7 linked regions of the Macaca mulatta genome follow. The protein of the gene in region 1 purifies or fractionates together with the protein of each later gene. This does not show direct contact. Links are inferred from orthologs where the notes say so. Each region holds a gene or a part of one and is shown in the gene's direction. Other genes may lie near its edges. The genes, in order: SP1, RELA, STAT3, RB1, SMARCA4, PPARG and CREBBP.

What was found.
Region 2: the proteins of SP1 (region 1) and RELA purify together in Homo sapiens (affinity purification with western blotting; 7 studies listed by BioGRID and IntAct, with this or other methods). This does not show direct contact. The link is inferred for Macaca mulatta from reciprocal best matches to the Homo sapiens genes SP1 and RELA.
Region 3: the proteins of SP1 (region 1) and STAT3 purify together in Homo sapiens (affinity purification with western blotting; 4 studies listed by BioGRID and IntAct, with this or other methods). This does not show direct contact. The link is inferred for Macaca mulatta from reciprocal best matches to the Homo sapiens genes SP1 and STAT3.
Region 4: the proteins of SP1 (region 1) and RB1 purify together in Homo sapiens (affinity purification with western blotting; 3 studies listed by BioGRID). This does not show direct contact. The link is inferred for Macaca mulatta from reciprocal best matches to the Homo sapiens genes SP1 and RB1.
Region 5: the proteins of SP1 (region 1) and SMARCA4 purify together in Homo sapiens (affinity purification with western blotting; 3 studies listed by BioGRID and IntAct, with this or other methods). This does not show direct contact. The link is inferred for Macaca mulatta from reciprocal best matches to the Homo sapiens genes SP1 and SMARCA4.
Region 6: the proteins of SP1 (region 1) and PPARG purify together in Homo sapiens (affinity purification with western blotting; 3 studies listed by BioGRID). This does not show direct contact. The link is inferred for Macaca mulatta from reciprocal best matches to the Homo sapiens genes SP1 and PPARG.
Region 7: the proteins of SP1 (region 1) and CREBBP purify together in Homo sapiens (affinity purification with western blotting; 5 studies listed by BioGRID, with this or other methods). This does not show direct contact. The link is inferred for Macaca mulatta from reciprocal best matches to the Homo sapiens genes SP1 and CREBBP.

The regions. Positions count from the first base shown.
Region 1 is NC_133416.1:60,526,017-60,530,086, forward strand, and holds the start of SP1 (transcription factor Sp1), read left to right. Parts: upstream 1-1,270; 5' UTR 1,271-1,309; coding exon 1,310-1,316; intron 1,317-1,820; exon of another isoform or gene 1,821-2,017; coding exon of another isoform or gene 2,018-2,099; intron 2,100-2,656; coding exon 2,657-2,814; intron 2,815-3,109; coding exon 3,110-4,070. UniProt on the Homo sapiens protein: Transcription factor that can activate or repress transcription in response to physiological and pathological stimuli.
Region 2 is NC_133419.1:8,727,088-8,731,079, forward strand, and holds the start of RELA (transcription factor p65), read left to right. Parts: upstream 1-1,192; 5' UTR 1,193-1,521; coding exon 1,522-1,583; exon of another isoform or gene 1,584-1,830; intron 1,831-2,055; exon of another isoform or gene 2,056-2,168; coding exon of another isoform or gene 2,169-2,175; exon of another isoform or gene 2,176-2,201; intron 2,202-2,648; exon of another isoform or gene 2,649-2,790; coding exon of another isoform or gene 2,791-2,817; intron 2,818-2,875; coding exon 2,876-3,059; intron 3,060-3,127; coding exon of another isoform or gene 3,128-3,160; coding exon 3,161-3,309; intron 3,310-3,992. UniProt on the Homo sapiens protein: NF-kappa-B is a pleiotropic transcription factor present in almost all cell types and is the endpoint of a series of signal transduction events that are initiated by a vast array of stimuli related to many biological processes such as inflammation, immunity, differentiation, cell growth, tumorigenesis and apoptosis.
Region 3 is NC_133421.1:66,665,884-66,669,383, reverse strand, and holds part of STAT3 (signal transducer and activator of transcription 3), read left to right. Parts: coding exon 1-72; intron 73-188; coding exon 189-324; intron 325-1,713; coding exon 1,714-1,766; intron 1,767-1,984; coding exon 1,985-2,079; intron 2,080-2,195; coding exon 2,196-2,335; exon of another isoform or gene 2,336-2,421; intron 2,422-2,813; exon of another isoform or gene 2,814-2,848; coding exon 2,849-3,061; intron 3,062-3,500. UniProt on the Homo sapiens protein: Signal transducer and transcription activator that mediates cellular responses to interleukins, KITLG/SCF, LEP and other growth factors. Once activated, recruits coactivators, such as NCOA1 or MED1, to the promoter region of the target gene.
Region 4 is NC_133422.1:27,657,672-27,661,171, forward strand, and holds part of RB1 (retinoblastoma-associated protein), read left to right. Parts: intron 1-889; coding exon 890-1,003; intron 1,004-1,096; coding exon 1,097-1,260; intron 1,261-2,873; exon of another isoform or gene 2,874-3,005; intron 3,006-3,186; coding exon 3,187-3,217; intron 3,218-3,500. UniProt on the Homo sapiens protein: Tumor suppressor that is a key regulator of the G1/S transition of the cell cycle. The hypophosphorylated form binds transcription regulators of the E2F family, preventing transcription of E2F-responsive genes.
Region 5 is NC_133424.1:11,797,205-11,800,704, forward strand, and holds part of SMARCA4 (SWI/SNF-related matrix-associated actin-dependent regulator of chromatin subfamily A member 4), read left to right. Parts: intron 1-534; coding exon 535-643; intron 644-1,068; coding exon 1,069-1,170; intron 1,171-2,051; coding exon 2,052-2,184; intron 2,185-2,344; coding exon 2,345-2,487; intron 2,488-3,500. UniProt on the Homo sapiens protein: ATPase involved in transcriptional activation and repression of select genes by chromatin remodeling (alteration of DNA-nucleosome topology).
Region 6 is NC_133407.1:151,249,918-151,253,345, forward strand, and holds the end of PPARG (peroxisome proliferator-activated receptor gamma), read left to right. Parts: intron 1-2,481; coding exon 2,482-2,729; 3' UTR 2,730-2,928; downstream 2,929-3,428. UniProt on the Homo sapiens protein: Nuclear receptor that binds peroxisome proliferators such as hypolipidemic drugs and fatty acids.
Region 7 is NC_133425.1:4,948,303-4,950,950, reverse strand, and holds the end of CREBBP (CREB-binding protein), read left to right. Parts: coding exon 1-1,950; 3' UTR 1,951-2,148; downstream 2,149-2,648. UniProt on the Homo sapiens protein: Acetylates histones, giving a specific tag for transcriptional activation. Mediates acetylation of histone H3 at 'Lys-18' and 'Lys-27' (H3K18ac and H3K27ac, respectively).

The DNA.
Region 1 (4,070 bases):
ACTATCTTGCTTTATGCATAGGCGGTATTTACTATTAACTCGGAAAAATGGAAGTGACTTATCCGCACTTTAGCCTCAAAGCTTGAAAAGTTAACCAGTCGTAAGTGGTTAGCGCCTTTGTCTGGCGGAACTTAACAAAATGGCGTTTTCTGGAATCTTACGGAGACTCTGCATATTGGTCAGCTCAGTATTAACTTATTTGGTGAGCGCTGTCCCCAAATCCCGTTCCGGCTGCACTCGCAGGGCTTGCAGCGACATTGAGGTATCTGCCCGCCTGTCCGCCCACCCGGGAAACGGGTAAGATTTGAGAGGTACTTTATAGGGGCAGTTAAATGAAGACTCAAACAAATCCTAGTGTTGATGCGGAACTGCGCGCCGAATGCCTTGGCTCTGACACCTGTTGAGCTGCAAGACTTCACTAAAGCGTCCCACCTAATGACTGTAACAACGTCCCCTGAGGTGGGCCAATATGGCGACGGTCTCCTCTTGGCACAGCCCTCTTCCCTCCCTCATGATGGGCGGCTCCGGTAACGCCCATTGGCCAACTAGGAGGCGGTGCCAGGCTTACTTCGTTCCCTCATTGGATTGAATAACTTAGGGAGCCGCCAATTCTCCTCTGCCACTCCAAGTTTCCGCCCTCAGAGTTAATCTGGCGTTTAATTGGCTTTTAATTCACGTCAATATGCGTCCTTTCCTGTCTTTTTTCAGTCTTAATCCAATCATAACTTTCCTGGCTGCCCGCCTGATTTCTGATTGGTTTTAATCAGCTTCAGCCTATCCTATTCCTGTCTACTTCTTACCTCTCCTCCCACTAGGATTTTGCCCAAGCATATCCCGGATTCTAGTTGGCCGTTGTTCTGTCATTCCTATCAAACCTTTCCCTATCCCAATGTCTCAGGGAGCCCGCCTGCCGGTTGACTGGTTTCCTTCCAAGCCAATAATCCCCAGCTCCCGCCCATCTTCACTTCCTGCATCTTTCATTGGCTTTTAACACTGAGAGGGCTGTCTTTTTGGGCGGACACCAGGCACGCAACTTAGTCTTACACGCCTTAGAGAGCAAGCGAGTCTTGCCATTGGAAAACCTCACCGTCTTTCTTCTGCAAGTCCCACCTTTCCCCCTCCCTCATTGGGCGGGGCAGCAGAGAAGGGGCGGGGCATAGGTTGGGCTGGTGGCGCGCTGCTCCCTCCTCCTCACCCCCCCCTCCCTGTCCGGTCCGGGTTCGCTTGCCTCGTCAGCGTCCGCGTTTTTCCCGGCCCCCCCCAACCCCCCCGGACAGGACCCCCTTGAGCTTGTCCCTCAGCTGCCACCATGAGCGGTAAGGATGAGTCCACTCCAAGCTTAGGGGTGGGAGGCGAGTGAGGGGGCGCGCGCGAGGGCCGACCGGGCGATCCCCGCCGTGAGGGGGGGCGGGCGGGAGGCGGCGGCGGCGGCCTAGGTCCCGCCCGGGGCGGAGGGAAGGGAGGGAGACGGGGCAGTGGCTGGGCCTCCGAGGAGGAGGGGGATGGGCCGCCCGCCCCGGGGGAGGGGGCAGCGTGGCCTCGCCCGCCCCCTGCCCGCCCCGGCCACGGGGGACGGGCCTTACCCCCCACTACTCGGCCGCCCGCCTGAGGCTCCTCCCGCCGGGGGCTGGAGCCGCGGGGGCGGCCCGAGCAGTGAAGGCCCCGCCCGGGCCAACCGCTTGTCTGGTCCGTCCTCTGGTCGCCGCCTGCTCCGGCGCCCTCCTCCCCCCACTTTCCGTAGATTTCCCTTCCCCCCGCCCCACCGTCCCGCCCTTTCCACGCCCCTCACCCCGAAACCGCCCTTTCCCTCAGGGCCCGCCCTCCGCCCCGAAACCTCCTGACTACTAACCAGTACACCCCTTTAGTTCCTTAGTAGTATTCACAAATGTTTTCCTACTAAAACTTTTTATTTCTTTTTCCCTTCTCCTCTTGTTACTTTTAATACTTGGGTTTTTGTTTATCTCTCTCTTTTTTTTTTGAGAGGGAGTTTCGCTCTTGTCGCCCAGGCTGGAGTGCAATGGTGCGATCTCGGCTCACTGCTACCTCCCGGATTCAAGCGATTCTCCTGCCTCAGCCTCCGGGAGTAGCTGGGATTACAGGCATGCGCCACCACACACGGCTAATTTTGTATTTTTAGTGGGGACGGGGTTTCTCCTTGTTGGTCAGGCTGGTCTCAAACTCCTGACCCCAGGTGATCCTCCTGCCTCAGCGTCTCAAAGTACTGGGATTACAGGCATGACCACCGCGCCTGGCCTCTCCATCTCTTTTAACCTTAATTTTAGCAATCTTTCCATCCACCCACATATTGTTTTTTGCCTTACTTGTCCTTTTTTCCCTTAGGATACTTTTTCTTATTTTGAAACTCTTTCAGCATGACTACCATCCTTCACATTTCCTATCCCCAAAGCACTTTTTGAATGTTTTCTTAGTTAATTTTGTGTAAGGGAGAATTGAGGCCCACTTTTGGCACCATTGAGCCTAGTTCATGTCCTGCATGCCCTGCAGCTCCCCTCTGCCCTCCAATCCATTTTCTTTATACTGGCGCCTTTCGCCTTCCTGTTAGTCATTGCTATTTCATCATAGCCTCCTTTTATCCTTCCTACCTCATCTCTTTTCTTCCCTCAAGTTTAAGTTGTTTGTTTTTTAATTGTTTTAGACCAAGATCACTCCATGGATGAAATGACAGCTGTGGTGAAGATTGAAAAAGGAGTTGGTGGCAATAATGGGGGCAGTGGTAATGGTGGTGGTGCCTTTTCACAGGCTCGAAGTAGCAGCACAGGCAGTAGCAGCAGCAGTGGAGGAGGAGGAGGGCAGGTAAGTGATAATAATAGAGTGGGGAAGATGTTGAGAGGATGTAAATATTCTTAGATAATTGCCTTACTCTTCATAGAAAGCTTTTTAGGGAGCTTATCAAAACCATTTTATAGATAAGAAGTAAGAGTATGGAGATCCCCAAAGACAGGAGTTTCAGCAATACAGATAGGTCAGCTTTTTGTTTCTGTTTTTTGCTCCTTGTCTGCACTACGTTGCTGTTTATTTGTTGTATACTGCCCCCTAGGCTGGCAGCTGGGTGTCACTAACTCCTTTCCTCTCCCTTATTTTTGGCCAGGAGTCCCAGCCATCCCCTTTGGCTCTGCTGGCAGCAACTTGCAGCAGAATTGAGTCACCCAATGAGAACAGCAACAACTCCCAGGGCCCGAGTCAGTCAGGGGGAACAGGTGAGCTTGACCTCACAGCCACACAACTTTCACAGGGTGCCAATGGCTGGCAGATCATCTCTTCCTCCTCTGGGGCTACCCCTACCTCAAAGGAACAGAGTGGCAGCAGTACCAATGGCAGCAATGGCAGTGAGTCTTCCAAGAATCGCACAGTCTCTGGTGGGCAGTATGTTGTGGCTGCCACTCCCAACTTACAGAACCAGCAAGTTCTGACAGGACTACCTGGAGTGATGCCTAATATTCAGTATCAAGTAATCCCACAGTTCCAGACCGTTGATGGGCAACAGCTGCAGTTTGCTGCCACTGGGGCCCAAGTGCAGCAGGATGGTTCTGGTCAAATACAGATCATACCAGGTGCAAACCAACAGATTATCACAAATCGAGGAAGTGGAGGCAACATCATTGCTGCTATGCCAAATCTACTCCAGCAGGCTGTCCCCCTCCAAGGCCTGGCTAATAATGTACTCTCAGGACAGACTCAGTATGTGACCAATGTACCAGTGGCCCTGAATGGGAACATCACCTTGCTACCTGTCAACAGCGTTTCTGCAGCTACCTTGACTCCCAGCTCTCAGGCAGTCACCATCAGCAGCTCTGGGTCCCAGGAGAGCGGCTCACAGCCTGTCACCTCAGGGACTACCATCAGTTCTGCCAGCTTGGTGTCATCACAAGCCAGTTCCAGCTCCTTTTTTACCAATGCCAATAGCTACTCAACTACTACTACCACCAGCAACATGGGAATTATGAACTTTACTACCAGTGGATCATCAGGGACCAACTCTCAAGGCCAGACACCCCAGAGGGTCAGTGGGCTACAGGGGTCTGATGCTCTGAACATCCAGCAAAACCAGA
Region 2 (3,992 bases), on another chromosome or scaffold:
TTGGCCCCTTTAAATCCCAGCTACTTGGGAGGCTGAGGGAGGAGAATCACTTGAACCCGGGAGGTGGAGGTTGCAGTGAGCTGAATGCCACTGCACTCCAGCCTGGACGACAGAGCGAGACTTCATCTCAAAAAAAAAAAGTTCAAAACTAAGGAAAACCAAACAATATATTGTGTAGGCATGCAGATATGAGTAATTTTTTTTTTTTTAATACAGAATTCTGGCCCAGGCGTGGTGGCTCATGCCTGTAATTCCACTTTGGGAGGCTGAGGTGTGAGTATCGCTTGAGCCCAGGAGTTTGAGACCAGCCTGGGCAACACAGCAAGACCCATCTCTAGTTATAATTAATTAATTAATTTAAGAAAATACAGAATTCTGGCCCAGCGTGGTGACTCATTCCTGTAATCCCAGCACTTTGTGAGGCCAAGGTGGAAGGAAAGTTGAGCTCAGGAGTTCAAGGACAGCCTAGACAACAAGGTTAAACCACTTCTCTACAAAAAAATACAAAAACTTAGCCAGGCATGGTGGTGTGCTCCCATAGTCCCAGCTATGCAGGAGGCTGAAGTGGGAGGATTGCTTGATCCTAGGTGGTAGAGGCTGCAGTGAGCCAAGACTGTGCCACTACACTCCAGCCTGGGCGACAGAGCGCGAGCCTGTCTCAAAAAATAAATACATACAATACAATACAATACAACGCAGAATTCTGCACGGTGGTGGTCCCTTAAGTTTTGCAATGGGTACACGGGTGTTTATGGTATTAATTTAAAAGTTATAAATATACATGAATTTTAAGAAGAGGATCCATGCAAGGTTTAATGATAATTGTATGTCATCCATTCGCTCAACTGAAGTCGGCCTTCCCCGCCCCCTGCCAAAAGTAAACACTTTTCTAATCAGGGCCAGCCACTGGAGAAACTGAAATGAGTGGGCGGGGTGCTAACTCTATTTTCACTTTTCTCTTCCTGTTTCTTCAGAGCCTGGGAAACAAGTCAGAATTTCCAGTCTTTTCCAATTCCCACATGATTTCCTAATTCAAGACGAATTCAGAGAAAATAAGTCTTTCTCCATCTGGAGAAGACTCCGCCCCCTGGAGCATCCTCCTTCGGGGATGAGGCCTGAGGTGGGGCTGCGCCAGCCCCAGCCCCCACAAGGACGCGCCTTGGGCTTGGTCTTGGGGGAGCTACCCGCACTGTGGGGTCACATGACAGAATTAGTGGTCAGCCCTAGCTGGAGGTCCAGGGCAAACACAGGCGGGGGCAGTGGGGTTGGGGGTTGTGGCCCTGCTGATTCGAGTGTCCCCTGTGGGTTCCGGACCTTCTGAGATACAAGCGCCAGGCTTCAGAGACGAAGCTCCGGGGTTTACCCCTGGGGACCCCCTGCTCCTGCAGCCGCTGAGGGCCGGCAGTTTGGCTGCATAGTAAGCTGGCGCTTTAGCTGGAGAGGGACGAGCTCTCGGCCAGCTCGCCAGCGGGAGGGCCTCAAGTTGTCCCATCCGGGCTGCAGGCTCCGCAAAGCTCCCTGATGCACTGTCAGAGGGGGAGGTCCGGCCGCTCCCCTTCCCCTACAGCCGCATCTAGAGTGGGGTAGGTTGGACATTTTAACGTGCTTCTGAGACAGTCACCACCGAAAGGCACCTTTAGCGATGAGGAAACCGGCGTGGAGTTCAACCACCCGGCCTCTGCGGAGCAGAAGGCCCGACTGGGCCTTTCCCTGCGCGGGGCGGGCGGCCGCAGCCCCGTAGCCCGGGCTTTGCTCCAGACCCGGCCCAGAGTGACATCACCAAACTCCGCCGATCGGTGGGAGGGGGCCCTGAAATCCCCTAAAAACAAAGTGAGTAATCGGCGGACCCGCCCTCCAGGCGGGGCCGGGACCCGGGAGCTAGCCGAACCACCGGGCACACCAGCCTCTTCGTCTCCGGCGACGCGCGCACTTGGCCCCGGCCCCCGGCAGCGGCTGTGCGCGCGGCCTCTTCGTCCTCCGCGCGGCGCGCACTTGCTCCCGGCCCCTTCGCCGGGCGGCGGCGGGGCAGCGCGCAGGCGCGGCCGGATTCCGGGCAGTGACGCGACGGCGGGCGCGCGCGGCGCATTTCCGCCTCTGGCGAATGGCTCGGCTGTAGTGCACGCCGCGGGCCCAGCTGCGACCCCGGCCCCGCCCCCGGGACCCCGGCCATGGACGGTGAGGTCGCCCTCTGACCCCGCGGGGTGGCCGCGCCGGGACCGCCCCGGCTGTGGCGGGAGGCCCCGCGCCGCTTTCCGCCCCTTCCTGCGCCGACTGGCGCTGCGCAGGGAGCGGTCGGCCTGCCGGATGGTGGCGCGGGGCGGGGCAGGCGGGGAGGGGTCTGACTCAGTTTCCCCTCTGGGTGGAGGGGGGCCCTTGACTCAGCATCCTCCCTGGGTGGGGGAGCAGAGGGAGCCTTGACTCAGTTTCCCTCCACACCGTCCATGGGGGCAGCTCTGGCTTCGTTTCCCTATTAGGGGAGAACGCATCTGATTCAGTTTCCTCTCTGGATGGAGGTGGGGCGTGCCCTCCCTCAGTTTTCCTTATGAAAGTACAACAGGCCCTGATTCGGCTTCCCTCGGGAGAAGGATTCCTTACCCCGTTTTCCCTCAAGAAGCAGGTGTTTCTGGTTCCTTTCCTCCACTCCTTAGTTTCACCGCAGGTTCTAGGAAGCAGGTCCTTACTCAGTTCCCCTGGGAGGGAGCCTGGCTTCTCTTCTCTGTGGAGAGCAGATACTCCCTTGTGAGGATGGGCAGTGGGTGTGTGCTGACCCTGATCTCCCTCCCCTTTCAGAACTGTTCCCCCTCATCTTCCCGGCAGGTAAGTGGCCCCCGCAGCAGTCCGGGAGGTGTTCCCTGGGGTAGGGCAGCGGGGGCAGCTGTCTAATGGGCCTGCGGTGTCCCCTGGCAGAGCCAGCCCAGGCCTCTGGCCCTTATGTGGAGATCATTGAGCAGCCCAAGCAGCGGGGCATGCGCTTCCGCTACAAGTGCGAGGGGCGCTCCGCGGGCAGCATCCCAGGCGAGAGGAGCACAGATACCACCAAGACCCACCCCACCATCAAGGTCAGCACTGCACCAGGGTGTGCGGGGAAGGGACTGTGGAACCCCAGCCCTCTGTGTTTGGGAGTCAGGTTTGGATGTCTGGGCCTCTGTACTTTGGACAGATCAATGGCTACACAGGACCAGGGACAGTACGCATCTCCCTAGTCACCAAGGACCCTCCTCACCGGCCTCACCCCCACGAGCTTGTAGGAAAGGACTGCCGGGATGGCTTCTATGAGGCTGAGCTCTGCCCGGACCGCTGCATCCACAGGTGAGCTCCCTGCAGGCTAGGAGGCCCAGCATGAGGGAACAGGAGGCGGGCTATGAAGTAGCCGCTACAGTGTTACTCCTTTCTGGACACAGGGCAGAGTTGCTTACTTCTTGCTCTGACTCAGCTCTGCAAGTAAACTCTCTTTGTCTTGAAATGATCTATTTGTACCTCTACTCTAGCACAGATAAGAGCTCCAAGGGATATGGATGGGTCCCTAATCACTTCTGAATCCCTGACCCCTGTAGCTGGAAGGACAAGTCCCTTGGAGTCATGTCTCTTGTTTGAGAAAGAAAACCACTGAACCAACACTCTCCCCTGGAGGTGACATTGCAGTTGACAGAAACAGGCCTTAAAAAAATATACAGGCCAGGCATAGTGGCTCATGCTTATAATTCTAGCACTTCCGGAGGCCAAGGCAGGAAGATCTCTTGAGCCTGGGAGTTCAAGACTAACCAAGGCAACATAGTGAGACCCTATCTCTACAAAAAAATAAGAAATTAGCTGGGTATGGTGACTTGTGCCTATAGTCCCAGCTACTTGGGAGGCTGATGTGGGAGGATCACCTGAGCCCAGGAGGTCACCGCTATGGCAAGCTATGATTACACCACGACACTTGGGTAGCAGAGCGACACCTTGTCGTGTTTTTTTTTTTTTTTTGAGACGGAGTCTTGCTCTGTCCCCAG
Region 3 (3,500 bases), on another chromosome or scaffold:
TCCAACATCTGTCAGATGCCAAATGCCTGGGCGTCCATCCTGTGGTACAACATGCTGACCAACAACCCCAAGGTTAGTACCCCCTCCTTTTAGTTGGTACCCCGGGATCTCTTGCGATGTATGGGTACCTAGTACAGACAATGAGCACCATCCCTCATCTAAACAAGCAAATGTGTTCTTTCCAATAGAACGTAAACTTTTTTACCAAGCCCCCAATCGGAACCTGGGATCAAGTGGCCGAGGTCCTGAGCTGGCAGTTCTCCTCCACCACCAAGCGAGGACTGAGCATCGAGCAGCTGACTACACTGGCGGAGAAACTCTTGGGTCTGCGTTTAACCCCTTCTCCCTCCCGCCTGCCCAGAAAAGGGATCCGGCCCACAGGGCTATTCATTTGGGTCATGTCTACTGAGCGTTAGGCCATGTTTCTTTCCTGAGCAAGGTGCTGTGCTGGTGCCAGGAAACAGGGGCTCCATCGAGTTGGGGAGTTGGGGTACAGAGACAGTTTGCAGTTTTCAGTCGAGGTGATCATTTTTGAGGTGGGAGGTGGATTTCTTTTCTCCTGGTTGCTGTCTCATTCACCCACTCCAACTAACCTTAGAAGATCTTTTAAATGTGTGTTGGAAGGTGGCACTAAAGGCTTGACATTCCCTGTCTATTTCTTTAATAAACTACAGGCTAGGTTTTTTTTGTTTTTTTTGTTTTTTTTTTTTTGAGAGACAAGTCTCGCTCTGTTGCCCAGGCTGGAGTGCAGTGGTGCGATCTCGGCCCACTGCGACCTCTGCCTCCCCTGGGTTCAAGCAATTCTCCTGCCTCAGCCTCCCAAGTAGCTGAGACTACAGGCGCCCACCACCACGCCAAGCTAATTTCTGTATTTTTAGTAGAGATGGGGTTTTACCATGTTGGCCAGGATGATCTCCATCTCTTCACCTCGTGATCCGCCCACCTCGGCCTCCCAAATTGCTGGGATTACAGGTGTGAGCCGCCATGCCCGGCCTAGGCTAGGTTTTTAAAAAATAATTAGTGGAGGCCAGGCGTGGTAGCTCACGCCTGTAATCCCAGCACTTTGGGAGGCCAAGGTGGGTGGATCATGAGGTCAGGAGATCAAGACCATCCTGGCTAACACAGTGAAACCCCGTCTCTACTAAAAATACAAAAAATTAGCCAGGCGTGGTGGCGAGTGCCTGTAGTCCCAGCTACTCAGGAGGCTGAGGCAGGAAAATGGCGAGAACCCAAGAAGTGGAGCTTGCAGTGAGCCGAGATTGCACCACTGCACTCCAGGGTGGGCGACAGAGCGAGATTCCGTCTCAAAAAAAAAAATAATAATTAGTGGAATATTTTATGTGCTACCTGGGCTAGAAGTAGCTTTGTCCTAATAAAGCTGTTGCCACCAAATACACCTGTCTGACACCTGATGTCAGCTTGTTAGTGCTGCTGCTGGTCCCCAGCCCGCCACCCGAGGCTGGGAAGAGCAGGGGGACTTGTTACATCACCCCCTATCCGTGCTGGGCTACCCAACAACAAAAGTGGGTCAAATGATGGGGTAGTGTTTGTCCTCGTGTGTGCACACACACAACGGTGGCCACGTTCAAAGATGTGAAAGCCAATGATTTTGTGGCCCATTGTGGGACCAATGTGTGTGTGTTCTGCTTTAAGAAATAACCTCTTGACCCCAAGCGGAAAATGTACTAGTTGATTCTTTTTCTTTTCCTTCAGGACCTGGCGTGAATTATTCAGGGTGTCAGATCACATGGGCTAAATTTTGCAAAGTAAGCAATCTTGTAAAATTCTCGTGGGAATGGGAATGCCTACCTGCACGGCTGTCGTGGAGGGCTCTGGCTTGAAGGCCCTGAACTCTTGGTCCAGCAGCCAGTAGGACCTGCCTGAGGGTAGATGGGCCTGAGGAGTTGGGTGGTGCACTGTGCCCCTAGGAAGGGAAAGGCTGGGATGGCAGCAGACTTGGCTTTCCCATTACTCTTTTCTGCAGGAAAACATGGCTGGCAAGGGCTTCTCCTTCTGGGTCTGGCTGGACAATATCATTGACCTTGTGAAAAAGTACATCCTGGCCCTTTGGAATGAAGGGTAGGTTGGACAGAGTGTGCACAGATGTAACCAAGTCCCCTGCTCTCAGCAAGCCAGTGGCAGGGGATGGATGCCCTGTTAGCAGTAACAACACTGTTCCTCCTCCTTGGCTCCAGGTACATCATGGGCTTTATCAGTAAGGAGCGGGAGCGGGCCATCTTGAGCACCAAGCCTCCAGGCACCTTTCTGCTAAGATTCAGTGAAAGCAGCAAAGAAGGCGGCGTCACTTTCACTTGGGTGGAGAAGGACATCAGTGGTAAGGGAGGCTCCCACCCACCCCACCTGCTGGCGGCTGCTGAGGCCTCATCACCGCTGCTAGTTCCAAGCACCTACTGCCCCCTTGTGGTGGAGATGGCACCGACTCCCTGCCTCACTCAGACTCGCAAAACACATTTGGGTGACTTCTAAATCCTTCTAGCTGAAGGATTGATTTGTCTTTGTTTTGCTTGCTCCAGTGACTATTTGTTGAGAAATTTGCAATTTAAGTTGTATTCTTCATCCCTTTTTCTACTTAGTCCTGTTAATATATCTTACACAAGTAGTTACATTCAAGTTTATTTTCTATGACCCAACTGGTAGCCTCTTCTAAATTAGAAGCCAGCCTGAACATTTCCACCGTGCCAGGCCACTCACTGAACAGTGTGTTCAGGGTCTCAACACTAGGGTGGCTTAAGTTTTTTCCCCTTCGAGAAAAGAAAAAATGGGCAGTTTTCTCTGAGATGACCTAGCTGTAGGTTCCATGATCTTTCCTTCCCATGTCCCGTGACAGGTAAGACCCAGATCCAGTCCGTGGAACCATACACCAAGCAGCAGTTGAACAACATGTCATTTGCTGAAATCATCATGGGCTATAAGATCATGGATGCTACCAATATTCTGGTGTCTCCGCTGGTCTATCTCTACCCTGACATTCCCAAGGAGGAGGCATTCGGAAAGTATTGTCGGCCAGAGAGCCAGGAGCATCCTGAAGCTGACCCAGGTAGTTGTTGATTTTCCATGTTCCTGGCATTTAATTTTTGGGAAAAGTTAGAAATTTGGGGATCCTTGGAGGATAGATAGGCAAATGCCTGAATAACCTGGGGGATCATTATTTCTCCTTATGGGAAAGAACTGTAGTGAGTGCTTTTGTTGGGGTGACCGATGGGATTTGAGAGGAGAATCAGAATCAGTTAGACTAGTGCAGTTCCTGCTCCACAGAGAGTGCATGAGTCTAAAGAGGGGATACAGCTTGGACAACAAAAAATACAAAAAAATTACCCGGTGTGGTGGCACGCATCTGTAGTCATAGCTGCTTGGGAGGCTGAGGTGGGAGGATCACCTGAGCCGAGGAGTTCAAGGCTGTAGTGAGCGGTGATCGTGCCACTGCACTCCAGCCTGGCTGATAGAGTGAGACACTGTGTCAAAAAATACAAATAAAGAGG
Region 4 (3,500 bases), on another chromosome or scaffold:
ATACTTTATCCCTGTAATAGGCAGGTATTTGTAATAAACTTGACATGAGTCATAGAACATTAGATATTCTTTGAAGTTATTTGTATTAGTTTATAGGAAAAGCCAATATAAATGCAGCCTTGCAAATAAATAATAAAAATGTTCAGTATAAACACATTTTGTGTTTCTGGTTTACCTTCCCTTTAGAGAAATAGTAGTAGTAAAATATACTTGGTATGACATATTTCATATTGTTTTGTGGAAAGTGAGTTGTGGGATATTTTTCCCATTTATTATTGGAGTTTTCAAAAGTAATACAAACCAAGTCATTTTTGTTTGTATGTTTGAAGTTATTTTCTAAATTCAATCATTTTAATTGTATATATCAGAGGCATCTGATATAACCTCTGTGTTTTTACCTAAAATTTGAGTGAAATCTATCACTAAAATATAGTGCCTTTACTAAATGTCTACTTCTTGCAATTGAGTAATGCATACTTAAACCCTTATAGATTGGGGGGAATACCAGGAGGTACAGGCCAGAGAATGTAGTCCAAATATTGATACATAATGTTATTGGCTTTCGCTCAGCTCTGGCCCTTTGATTCCCTTTGATCATGCTTTCCATTCTACTAGCCTGTCTACTCCTGTCTTCTTAGATGGCCAGCTATTCCATCTGCTGCTGCCTGGCTATTTCTCTCAATCATTCTGTGACATTTCACTTCTCGGAGAGCAGCTATAATCCAAGCCTAAGAAGTAATTTTAGATTATTTTTTTCTTTTATAATATGTGCTTCTTATCAGTCAAAAAGTATTATAAACTATTAGAAAAGAAAATCTAAAGGTAGAAATTTTAAAATTCATTTAACAAGTAAATTTTACTTTTTTTTTTTTCTACTGTTCTTTCTCAGACATTCAAACGTGTTTTGATCAAAGAAGAGGAGTATGATTCTATTATAGTATTCTATAACTCGGTCTTCATGCAGAGACTGAAAACAAATATTTTGCAGTATGCTTCCACCAGGGTAGGTCGAAAGTATCCTTTGACTGGAAAAATCTAATGTAATGGGTCCACCAAAACATTAAATAAATGGTCTACTTTTCTGTTTTTGCTCTAGCCCCCTACCTTGTCACCAATACCTCACATTCCTCGAAGTCCTTACAAGTTTCCTAGTTCGCCCTTACGGATTCCTGGAGGGAACATCTATATTTCACCCCTGAAGAGTCCATATAAAATTTCAGAAGGTCTGCCAACACCAACGAAAATGACTCCAAGATCAAGGTGTGTGTTTTCTCTTTATGGAAGTAGTAAAGAATGAGAGGGCGATTATTTTGATCCAAGAATAAAAAATATAAAGCTTTCTTCATTTCAAATAAGCTAGACTCTTGAAACTCTATTTGCTTATTTAAGTAACATAATAAGAATATGGAGAGAAAGAAAATCTATTTACTTGGATGAGTTTACACATTTACTTATCAGATTTCCTGACTGTTAGGGTATCTTCTTTTGTAAACAATTTGAGAACCAGTTTGGTTATATGTTTCAAAACACTTTCATATTTTTCTAAGTAGCCAATCTGCTAAACAAAGCAGGTTACTTTAGGTTGAGTACTTTTAGTTTGTAGTTTATTGGATGTCCTGTAAATTTTGCTTCCTGTGGATTTTGTTCATTTTGCTTGTTATATTAAATGTAGATTACTGTCAATTAAGTCTTTAGAGGTCCATCCCTAATCCTGCTGGCGGCCACTTTACCACTTTACCTTGGGCAGGTCTCTATCTGTACTTCACAAGGGTGCTGTGGATCAGGGAAATGATGAGTATGAAGCTGTTTTAAATGCTCAGATGAAAGGTTGTGTGCAACTACAAATCATTATATTATCTTCCACATCCAACCACAAGTGCTCTCTGGCTTTGAAGTGCTTCAATTGACTAATTATATGTTATCACGGGCTATTTGAAACTGACTTTATTTGTGTAAAGTAGGAGGCAGATTAGCTAGTATAGTTAATGTAGTCTCATCTCAGAAATTATCAGCCCATATGGTTGTACCTAATGGGCAAGAAAAGGGGAATATGTTGGCCTTTCAGAAAACATTTGCATGGTATATTTAATTATTTAAGTAGTACGTACTCATTATAAAAATTTCAAACTCTACAGAAAAATATGAAGTGAGAAATAATTGGCAATATGATACAAATGCTCTCATGTGCCTCTGTATCATCCTTTATTTATTTGGTGTTCTTGTAGTTGGATATCTGTGTACTGATACCTACTACTTGTTCTAAGCTGCTAAGATGCCACGTCATGTCTATTTAAGAAAATTTACATTGTTCCATGCCACTATATGAAAATGTATACTTAGGTAGTTTTCTTTAATAGTGATAATTAGTCCATATTATGGTGATAATGATGGCTACTTGCTGATCCTTAGTGAAATAAATTCTGTGTTGGTATTCTTTAGCAAGAAAGTCACATTCTGAACATCCTAACTAATAAATCATTGACCAGGCATTAGGAGAGCATCTTAACACTACCTGGTACATTTAGGTGTTCTGGTTAATCAAATATTATATGTAGAATGATGGCCACTTATCAAGGAATTAGAGGACAAAAAATTCTCTATATTCACTAGTTCCGTGTTCATGTTTTCAAATCTTTGTTGAGTCATGTCAGTCTAATGATGTTCTTCAGATTTATTATCAAGAACATAAATTATATGGTTCAAATAAAGACAGACTAATAAAGATTTCTGACTCCATATATGATATATGATAGCCTTTACTATATCAATATAGAGGCTAATTAGAATTCTGATTATTACTTAATATTGTAAGTTTTTTCCAAATATTACTTGAATTTTAAATGAGAAAATATGAAAGAAATTTGATAACTTACCCATTGATTTACGAAGAACTCAGTAGGGGTAAACTTGAAACTTTCCTTTGCCCTCCCTAAATATGGGCAATAGCAGAATATGTTCTTGCAGACTTATAACTTTTGCTGTAAAACTAAGAGACTAGGTGAGTATATGATTAAATGGGCACTGTTACAATAATTCCCAAATGAATATAGTTTGTCAGTAGTTCTAGGGTAGAGGTAACCTTTAATTTAGTATTCCTAATAGTTCAGAATGATGTATCTATGCTCGTCTCTGCAAAATTGTATATGATTTTTTATTACTAATTGGCATTTCATCTTAACTTGACAGAATCTTAGTATCAATTGGTGAATCATTTGGGGTGAGTATTTTCTTTCTATGAAATATAATAGTATGCATTGTAAGTATAAAAGAAATTAAAGCTTTCAATAATTCGAGTTTCTAAATGTAATTATTCAAACACCTCATCCAGGCATATTGCATAGAAATTTATTTTTTTTATATATATATATATATATATATATATATAAAATACTCCTAATCTCAAATCATACTCCTAATTGGTGAACTTCAAAACTTTTCTAAATATTCATTTGAGGTTATATAATACATATATACATTTGTGTATATACATACATATATAC
Region 5 (3,500 bases), on another chromosome or scaffold:
TCCGTCTCAAAGGAAAAAAAAACAAAACCGCGTCACAGGCCTGTGTGTGTGGTTGTCGCTGGGGAATGTTCCGGAAGCTACAAGAAAGCACATGTGCAGGCCACGTGTGGTGGCTCACACCTGTAATCCCAGCACTTTGGGAAGCCGAAGTGGGCTGATCACCTGAGGTCAGGAGTTTGAGACCAGTCTGACCGACATGGAGAAACCCTGTCTCTACTAAAAGTACAAAATTAGCCTGGCATGGTGGCGCACGCCTGTAATCCCAGTGACTCCAGAGGCTGAGGCAGGAGAATCGCCTGAACCTGGGAGGTGGAGGTTGCAGTGAGCTGAGATTGCGCCATTACACTCCAGCTTGGGCAATGAGCGAAACTCCGTCTCAAAAAAAAAAAAAAAAAAAAAAGTGCAAGAAATAGGTCCTGAGCCAAGTTTGAATTTCTCATCCTCTCTGTCCTCAATGTGGGGACCTGCTGAGGTGGAGTAGGGGCTCCCAGGTGGGCGGGCCGAGGGGTGACGCCTGCCGGTTCTGCCTTGCAGCAGCAGTGGACGTCAGCTCAGTGAGGTCTTCATCCAGCTGCCCTCGCGGAAGGAGCTGCCGGAGTACTACGAGCTCATCCGCAAGCCCGTGGACTTCAAGAAGATAAAGGTAACACTGACGCTGTGCCTGTGCCGTGCATCTGCCCGCGGGAGGAGTCTGACCCAGGGGCACCCCCATCCGAGAGCTGTGGTGTGTGGGCGGAATGACCAGAAACTGCCTGGGCAGAGCCTTGGGATGCCTGGTTAGGGACCTGGTCGTGGGCTTTTGGGGTTCCTTGTAAGGGTTGGGGGTGTCCTGTGGGATGTCAGTGAGCAGTTGGTGTTGGGTGTTCCTTCAAGGTCCTGCTCACTCAGTGCTGGGCCTCAGTCATGCAGTTCCCATGCCTGGTGGGCCGGGTTACCAAGGCTGGGGCTTCAGCCACATCCTCATAGGCGCGAGGAATCCTGGCCCGCGGGGTCCCCAGCACACAGCGGGACCTGCGGGCAGGCGAGGCGGGGTCCTGAGGTAAGACCTGCTCCTCCCGTCCATTGCAGGAGCGCATCCGCAACCACAAATACCGCAGCCTCAACGACCTAGAGAAGGACGTCATGCTGCTGTGCCAGAACGCTCAGACCTTCAACCTGGAGGGCTCCCTGGTGAGGGCACGGCTGGGGGATGGGGATGGGCCACTCCCACAGCTGGGCTTTGAACCAACCCGCCCCTGCTTCCTTTCTGAATTGATGGGTTAAAAACAATTCCCGCTAGCTGTGGTGGTTCGTGCCTATAATCCCAGCACTTTGGAAGGCCAAGGCGGGAGGATCACTTGGGGCCAGGAGTTCAAGACCAGCCTGGGCAATGTAACAAGACCCTGTCTTTAAAAAAAAAAAAAAAAAATTTAAATTTCCAACAACTTGGGATATTTTAGCAATTACAAAAGCAGTACGTATTTACCAAAGAAAATAAAGATAGGCACAACAGAAGAAATAGACTCAGAGTCCTCTGTCTGTTGGAATTTTGTTTTAAATTCCCTGGGGCACACTCTCTTCAGAGGAATCCTATGGGTGTGTTCTTTCCTGTGATAGAATTGACACATACACAGCCTCAACTTGGCAAACTTTTCTTAAGTGTGTTTGGGATTGATGCCTCTCAGAAAAAATACTTGACTTGGATGCGTTTGGGGAAGATGCTGGCTTCAACAAGGGACATGCATTTCTAATGTTATTGCAGACCTCAGAGATTCTGCAGAAGGAGGGAGGCACCTGCAGCCATTTCCAAACCAGTGTGCCTGACCTTTCACCCCGGAGCATTTCAGAAGCCTGATGCTCTCTGGGGTACCTGTGGAGGAAGATCATGGAGAGGGCCTTCCACCCTGGGTGGGCTGAAGCCCCGACCCACTGAGGCTCGCACTGGCCACTGATCAGCTGTCCAGGGACAACACAGGGCTGGGGCTGGGGCTGGGGCTGGGGCTGGGGCCAGGGCCGGGCAGGCAACCCTCCAGTCAGGCCCATCCACTCAAGCCCCTGGTGTCTCCGCCCAGATCTATGAAGATTCCATCGTCTTGCAGTCAGTCTTCACCAGCGTGCGGCAGAAAATTGAGAAGGAGGATGACAGTGAAGGCGAGGAGAGTGAGGAGGAGGAAGAGGGCGAGGAGGAAGGCTCCGAATCTGAGTGTGAGTCCCGGGGGGGGTTCAGGATGCCGGGGTTCACGCTGGCCCAAGAGCCCCCAAGGTCACAGCTTTTCACAGCCCTCCCAGCTCCCAGACACCCCTTGCTGTGAGGGTGCTGCATTCCCAGAGCTCAAGGCTGTCTTTCCCTCGTGGTCCCCTCTAGCTCGGTCTGTCAAAGTGAAGATCAAGCTTGGCCGGAAGGAGAAAGCACAGGACCGGCTGAAGGGCGGCCGGCGGCGACCGAGCCGAGGGTCCCGAGCCAAGCCGGTCGTAAGTGATGACGACAGTGAGGAGGAACAAGAGGAGGTGAGGTCGGGCCCCCGAGCAGGCAGGGCTGGTGGGTGGCGGGAGGCATCCCAGGGCCCTGATAGGATAGCCCTGCGGGGCAGTGCTCTTACTCCCCCATGCTGCAGGTAGGGAAACTGAGGCTTGACCTGCCGTGGCTGACCCCAGGTCACACAGCCAATATGTGGCAGGGCTGCCACTGAAACCCAAGCCTGTGTGACCCTGGAACCAACTCTTAGTACCCGTGGGTGTCTAGGGACTGGGGGACATATGAGGTCTCAGGACAGGCAACAGGCGGTCCCATGGCACCAGGGCTGCTGGGCTGAGGCCGGGGAGGCCAGGGCTTGAGTAGGGTCGAGTGGGAGGTGCTAGGATTGGGGACCAACCAGGCAGTGCCTTGTCTCCTCAGTGTTGTAGAGAATGGGCAGAAATGCCAAACCCACAGTGGATAGTTTTTGGGGGACAGTAGGAAGCCTGAGCAGATCCACTTGCTGGCTTTAAATAATCTTCACCTTTGTCTCTGGCCCTTCTGGCTGTGGGACCTGGCAGGTCACTTTGCTTCTCAAGCTTCAGTTTCCTCTTATGCAAAGCAAGGAGGCTCCATGGATGAGGGAACTGCCCCCACTCAGGCCTGGCTCCCACTGAAGTCTGGTGAATGCCATTTTGTCAGCACAGAAGCAGCAAATTTCAGTGCCTGGAAATCAGTCTGACAAAAGAGGCATGTGACCTTTGAGGACATTCATGAAGTCCTCATGGGGAGGGGTGGCCTTCCAGGCAGGAGGGCCATGGGCTGTGATGGTGTGTCTCTTGCCCAAGCCAGAGCAGGGTGTTTTATGGCCCATGCCAGGCTGTTTAAAAATTTTTTTTTTTTTTTTTTTTTTTGAGACGGAGTCTCGCTCTGTCACCCAGGCTGGAGTGCAGTGGCCGGATCTCAGCTCACTGCAAGCTCCGCCTCCCGGGTTTACGCCATTCTCCTGCCTCAGCCTCCCGAGTAGCTGGGACTACAGGCGCCTGCCACCTCGCCCGGCTAAGTT
Region 6 (3,428 bases), on another chromosome or scaffold:
AGACTTGATTAAAAAACCGAAAGTTATGTTTTTTTAAAAAAGCAAAAACTAGATAAACCTTTGACAAATCAGATTTTTTTTTTTTTTTTTTTTGAGATGGAGTCTTGCTCTGTCGCCCAGGCTGGAGTGCAGTGGCCAGATCTCAGCTCACTGCAAGCTCCGCCTCCCGGGTTCCTGCCATTCTCTGGCCAAATCAGATTTTTTTAATGAGAGAATGCACAAATAAAGAGCTCTAAGAGCTGGGCACAGTGGCTCATGCCTATGTTCCCAGCACTTTGGGAGGCTGAGGCAGGAGGATTGGTTGAGGCCAGAAGTTCAAGACCAGTCTGGGCTATGTAGCAAGACCCCACCTCTACAAAAAATTTAGAAATTAGTTGGGTGTGGTGGCTCATGCCTATAGTCCCAGCTACTTGGGAGGCTAAAGCAGGAGGATCACCTGAACCCAGGAGTTGGAGGCTGCAGTGAGCCATGATCATGCCACTGCACTGGGCAACAGATTAAGACTCTGTCTCAAAAAAAAGAAAAGAAAAAGCATTAAGTTAAGATTAAGTTAAGGGGCATGAATAAATACATTTCATATTCTAAGACAATATCATCTACAACTTTATTCCAATATAAATTACTAAAACTTTACCATATAAGTAGTAGAAAGCCTGAATAGATAAAAACTATGGAAGAAAAATTAAAGATAATGATAGATTTATCATTAAGCTCAGATGGTTCTGCAAACAAATTCTAAGAAACCGTCAGGGAACAGATCATTACTATGTCGACACAGAAGGCAAACTTCTCAACTCAGTGTATAAGGCTAGTTAACATTGTTACTAAAACAGGCAAAGAATGGCCCCCAAAATAATTCTAAATCAGTACCACCTACAAGTACAAAAACCCTATAATAAAATATTAGCAAGTGACTACAAGGGTATAAGGAACTCTGTTAATGTAATTCACTGTGCTAGGTTAAGATAAAACCATAACTCTTCAAGATATCATAGCTCTTTAGATAGAGAAATGTAAAAGCATTTGATAAAAATTCAACAACATTCCTGACTAAAACAAATTAAAATTTTTAAACCCCTGGATAAGCCAGGAGTAAAACATGTCCTCCATAATCTATAGCAAACATCATAGTTGCTGATAAACCATTAGAAGCATTTCCTTCAAAGTTAGGAATAAAACAAGAATTGCTGCTATTATTTAATCCCATATTGGAGGTTTTAGCCAACACACTATGGCAAGAAGAGGAAATGAGAAAGGTTAATGATGCAAAAGAAGAAATAAATAGCTACCATTGCTGATACAATTATCTATCCAAAAAAAGTAGAAATCCATGATTAAAAGCTATTCGAACTGACAAAAGTTCAGGAAATTGGAATCGTTTCAATATACTAAAATCAATTAGTTTTCTACACATCAGCGGGGATATATTAGATGTAATGAAAATGAAGGGTCCATTCACAATAGAAGCTATAAAGTATTTGAGAATAAATCTAACAAGATCTACATAAAGAAAAAAGTAAAATATTTAAAAGGTATTTAAGTTCACCATTTGCAAATTGAACTAAAGAAAAAATCTAAAGAAGAACTAGTGAAAATTGCTTGCAATCTTGCCACTCAAAAGAAACCTCTGTTAAAATGTATCAGTATTTTAAAACTGTGTTTTGTCGTTTGGAAATACGCCATATTAAGCAAACACAGCATAAGCAAATCAAGCAAAAAGACAAGCCTTTTTTTAAAAGCATATTTGTGAAAAGAGCATATTTGAAGCTATGATAAGAAACTGAGTAGAATCTATAAAACATGGATTCATCAGGAAGGAGCAGAAGTTGAAAAGATTTCTGGCTGGGCGTGGTGGCTCATGCCTGTAATCCCAGCACTTTGGGAGGCCAAGGCGGGTGGATCACTTGAGGTCAGGAGTTTGAGACAAGCGTGGCCAACATGGTGAAACCCCATCTCTACTAAAAATACAAAAATTAGAAAGGCGTGGTGGTGAGCGCCTATCATCCCAGCTACTCAGGAGGCTGAGGCAGGAGAATAGCTTGATCCCGGGAGGCATAGGTTGTAGTGAGCTGAGGTCGTGCCACTGCACTCCAGCCTGCACTCCAGCCAGACAGAGCAAGACTCCATCTCAAAAAAAAAAAAAAGGAAAAAGGAAATTTCTGAGTAGAAACATGTTAGCAGAGGAAACTTAATTTGGGGAATGAAATTGTTTTGATGCCACGCTCCATCAGCTGACCACACAGATTCCATCCTGGCCAGAAAAAGCCCCTGCAAAGACCTCTGATTATTTTGGTTCTGATTACATCCTCAGTTCTCACCCATTATCTGCTTGCCCTTGCTCCCCACCTATTTAAGATACAAAGCAAAACAAACCAAAACCACGGATGAGTTGCTTGGTAGAGCTCCCTAGGCCTCCGAGGCGGGGCCCAGAGGATTTTTTGACTGAACCCCGTGTTGTGTTTTCCATTTGTGCTTCCCCAGATCGCCCAGGTTTGCTGAATGTGAAGCCCATTGAAGACATTCAAGACAACCTGCTACAAGCCCTGGAGCTCCAGCTGAAGCTGAACCACCCTGAGTCCTCGCAGCTGTTTGCCAAGCTGCTCCAGAAAATGACAGACCTCAGACAGATTGTCACGGAACACGTGCAGCTACTGCAGGTGATCAAGAAGACGGAGACAGACATGAGTCTTCACCCGCTCCTGCAGGAGATCTACAAGGACTTGTACTAGCAGAGAGTCCTGAGCCGCTGCCAACATTTCCCTTCTTCCAGTTGCACTATTCTGAGGGAAAATCTGACACCTAAGAAATTTACTGTGAAAAAGCATTTTAAAAAGAAACGGTTTTAGAATATGATCTATTTTATGCATATTGTTTATAAAGACACATTTACAATTTACTTTTAATATTAAAAATTACCATATTATGAAATTGCTGATAGTATTTCATTTACTGAGTCTTGTGTGTTTCCCACCCTAGCCCCTGGGCTTTCTTTTTTCCCCCTTTTCCTTCTTCCCTCGATCCCTCCCTCCCTCCCTTCCTCCCTCCCTCCCTTCCTTCCTCCCTCCCTCCCTCGCACCCTTCCTCCCTTCCTTCCTTCCTTTCCTTCTTCCTTTATTTTTCTTTTCTTTCTTAGACATTTTAAAATATGTGAGTGGAACTGCTGATACACTTCCATTCTCAGTAAATTAATTTTTTACTCAATTTACAACTTTTCGGAACTCTACATCTGCTTTAACAATCAGAACTAAGAAGGGAAGGGGAACTACAGAATCAGACGGCTCAGAGCATGTGTTTTGTAGCCTGGATATGCTGATATGCAGTATATCCCTGGGCTTACCCAGAATTCAGTCTTCTTCCACAATCCTAACCGAGATTTTCACTCACCACCAGCAGCCTATTCATATACTACCTGCTAATCAATGCCACTG
Region 7 (2,648 bases), on another chromosome or scaffold:
TCCTGCCAGAAGATGAAGCGGGTGGTGCAGCACACCAAGGGCTGCAAGCGCAAGACCAATGGGGGCTGCCCGGTGTGCAAGCAGCTCATCGCCCTCTGCTGCTACCACGCCAAGCACTGCCAAGAAAACAAATGCCCCGTGCCCTTCTGCCTCAACATTAAACACAAGCTCCGCCAGCAGCAGATCCAGCACCGCCTGCAGCAGGCCCAGCTCATGCGCCGGCGGATGGCCACCATGAACACCCGCAACGTGCCTCAGCAGAGTCTGCCTTCTCCTACCTCAGCACCGCCCGGGACCCCCACGCAACAGCCCAGCACGCCCCAGACGCCGCAGCCCCCCGCCCAGCCCCAACCCTCACCCGTGAGCATGTCACCAGCTGGCTTCCCCAGCGTGGCCCGGACTCAGCCCCCCACCACGGTGTCCACAGGGAAGCCTACCAGCCAGGTGCCGGCCCCCCCGCCCCCGGCCCAGCCCCCTCCTGCAGCGGTGGAAGCGGCTCGGCAGATCGAGCGTGAGGCCCAGCAGCAGCAGCATCTGTACCGGGTGAACATCAACAACGGCATGCCCCCAGGGCGCACGGGCATGGGGACCCCGGGGAGCCAGATGGCCCCCGTGAGTCTGAATGTGCCCCGACCCAACCAGGTGAGCGGGCCCGTCATGCCCAGCATGCCTCCCGGGCAGTGGCAGCAGGCACCCCTTCCCCAGCAGCAGCCCATGCCAGGCTTGCCCAGGCCTGTGATATCCATGCAGGCCCAGGCGGCCGTGGCTGGGCCCCGGATGCCCAGCGTGCAGCCGCCCAGGAGCATCTCACCCAGCGCTCTCCAAGACCTGCTGCGGACCCTGAAGTCGCCCAGCTCCCCTCAGCAGCAACAGCAGGTGCTGAACATTCTCAAATCAAACCCGCAGCTAATGGCAGCTTTTATTAAACAGCGCACAGCCAAGTACGTGGCCAATCAGCCTGGCATGCAGCCCCAGCCTGGCCTCCAGTCCCAGCCCGGCATGCAACCCCAGCCTGGCATGCACCAGCAGCCCAGCCTGCAGAACCTGAATGCCATGCAGGCTGGTGTGCCGCGGCCCGGTGTGCCTCCACAGCAGCAGGCGATGGGAGGCCTGAACCCCCAGGGCCAGGCCTTGAACATCATGAACCCAGGACACAACCCCAACATGGCGAGTATGAATCCACAGTACCGAGAAATGCTACGGAGGCAGTTGCTGCAGCAGCAGCAGCAGCAGCAGCAGCAACAGCAGCAACAGCAGCAGCAGCAGCAAGGGAGTGCCGGCATGGCTGGGGGCATGGCGGGGCACGGCCAGTTCCAGCAGCCTCAAGGACCCGGAGGCTACCCACCAGCCATGCAGCAGCAGCAGCGCATGCAGCAGCATCTGCCCCTCCAGGGCAGCTCCATGGGCCAGATGGCGGCTCAGATGGGACAGCTTGGCCAGATGGGGCAGCCGGGGCTGGGGGCAGACAGCACCCCCAACATCCAGCAAGCCCTGCAGCAGCGGATTCTGCAGCAACAGCAGATGAAGCAGCAGATTGGGTCCCCAGGCCAGCCAAACCCCATGAGCCCCCAGCAACACATGCTCTCAGGACAGCCACAGGCCTCGCATCTCCCTGGCCAGCAGATCGCCACATCCCTTAGTAACCAGGTGCGGTCTCCAGCCCCTGTCCAGTCTCCACGGCCCCAGTCCCAGCCTCCACATTCCAGCCCATCACCACGGATACAGCCCCAGCCTTCGCCACACCACGTCTCACCCCAGACTGGTTCCCCCCACCCCGGACTTGCAGTCACCATGGCCAGCTCCATAGATCAGGGACACTTGGGGAACCCCGAACAGAGTGCAATGCTCCCCCAGCTGAACACCCCCAGCAGGAGCGCGCTGTCCAGCGAACTGTCCCTGGTCGGGGACACCACGGGGGACACGCTAGAGAAGTTTGTGGAGGGCTTGTAGCATTGTGAGAGCATCACTTTTTTTCCCTTTCATGTTCTTGGACCTTTTGTACTGAAAATCCAGGCATCTAGGTTTTTTTTATTCCTAGATGGAACTGCGACTGCCAAGCCATGGAAGGGTGGATTGATGTTTAAAGAGACAATACAAAGAATATATTTTTTTGTTAAAAACCAGTTGATTTAAATATCTGGTCTCTTTCTTTTTGGTTTTTTTTTTTTCTTTTTTGGGGGGGGGTTCTTTTTTTTTCCGTTTTGTTTTTGTTTGGGGGGAGGGGGGTTTTGTTTGGATTCTTTTTGTCGTCATTGCTGGTGACTCATGCCTTTTTTTAACGGGAAAAACAAGTTCATTATATTCATATTTTTTATTTGTATTTTCAAGACTTTAAACATTTATGTTTAAAAGTAAGAAGAAAAATAATATTCAGAACTGATTCCTGAAATAATGCAAGCTTATAATGTATCCCGATAACTTTCTGATGTTTCGGGAAGATTTTTTTCTATAGTGAACTCTGTGGGCGTCTCCCAGTATTACCCCTGGACGATAGGAATTGACTCCGGCGTGCACACACACGTACACACACCCACACACATCTATCTATACATAATGGCTGAAGCCAAACTTGTCTTGCAGATGTAGAAATTGTTGCTTTGTTTCTCTGATAAAACTGGTTTTAGACAAAAAATAGGGATGATCACTCT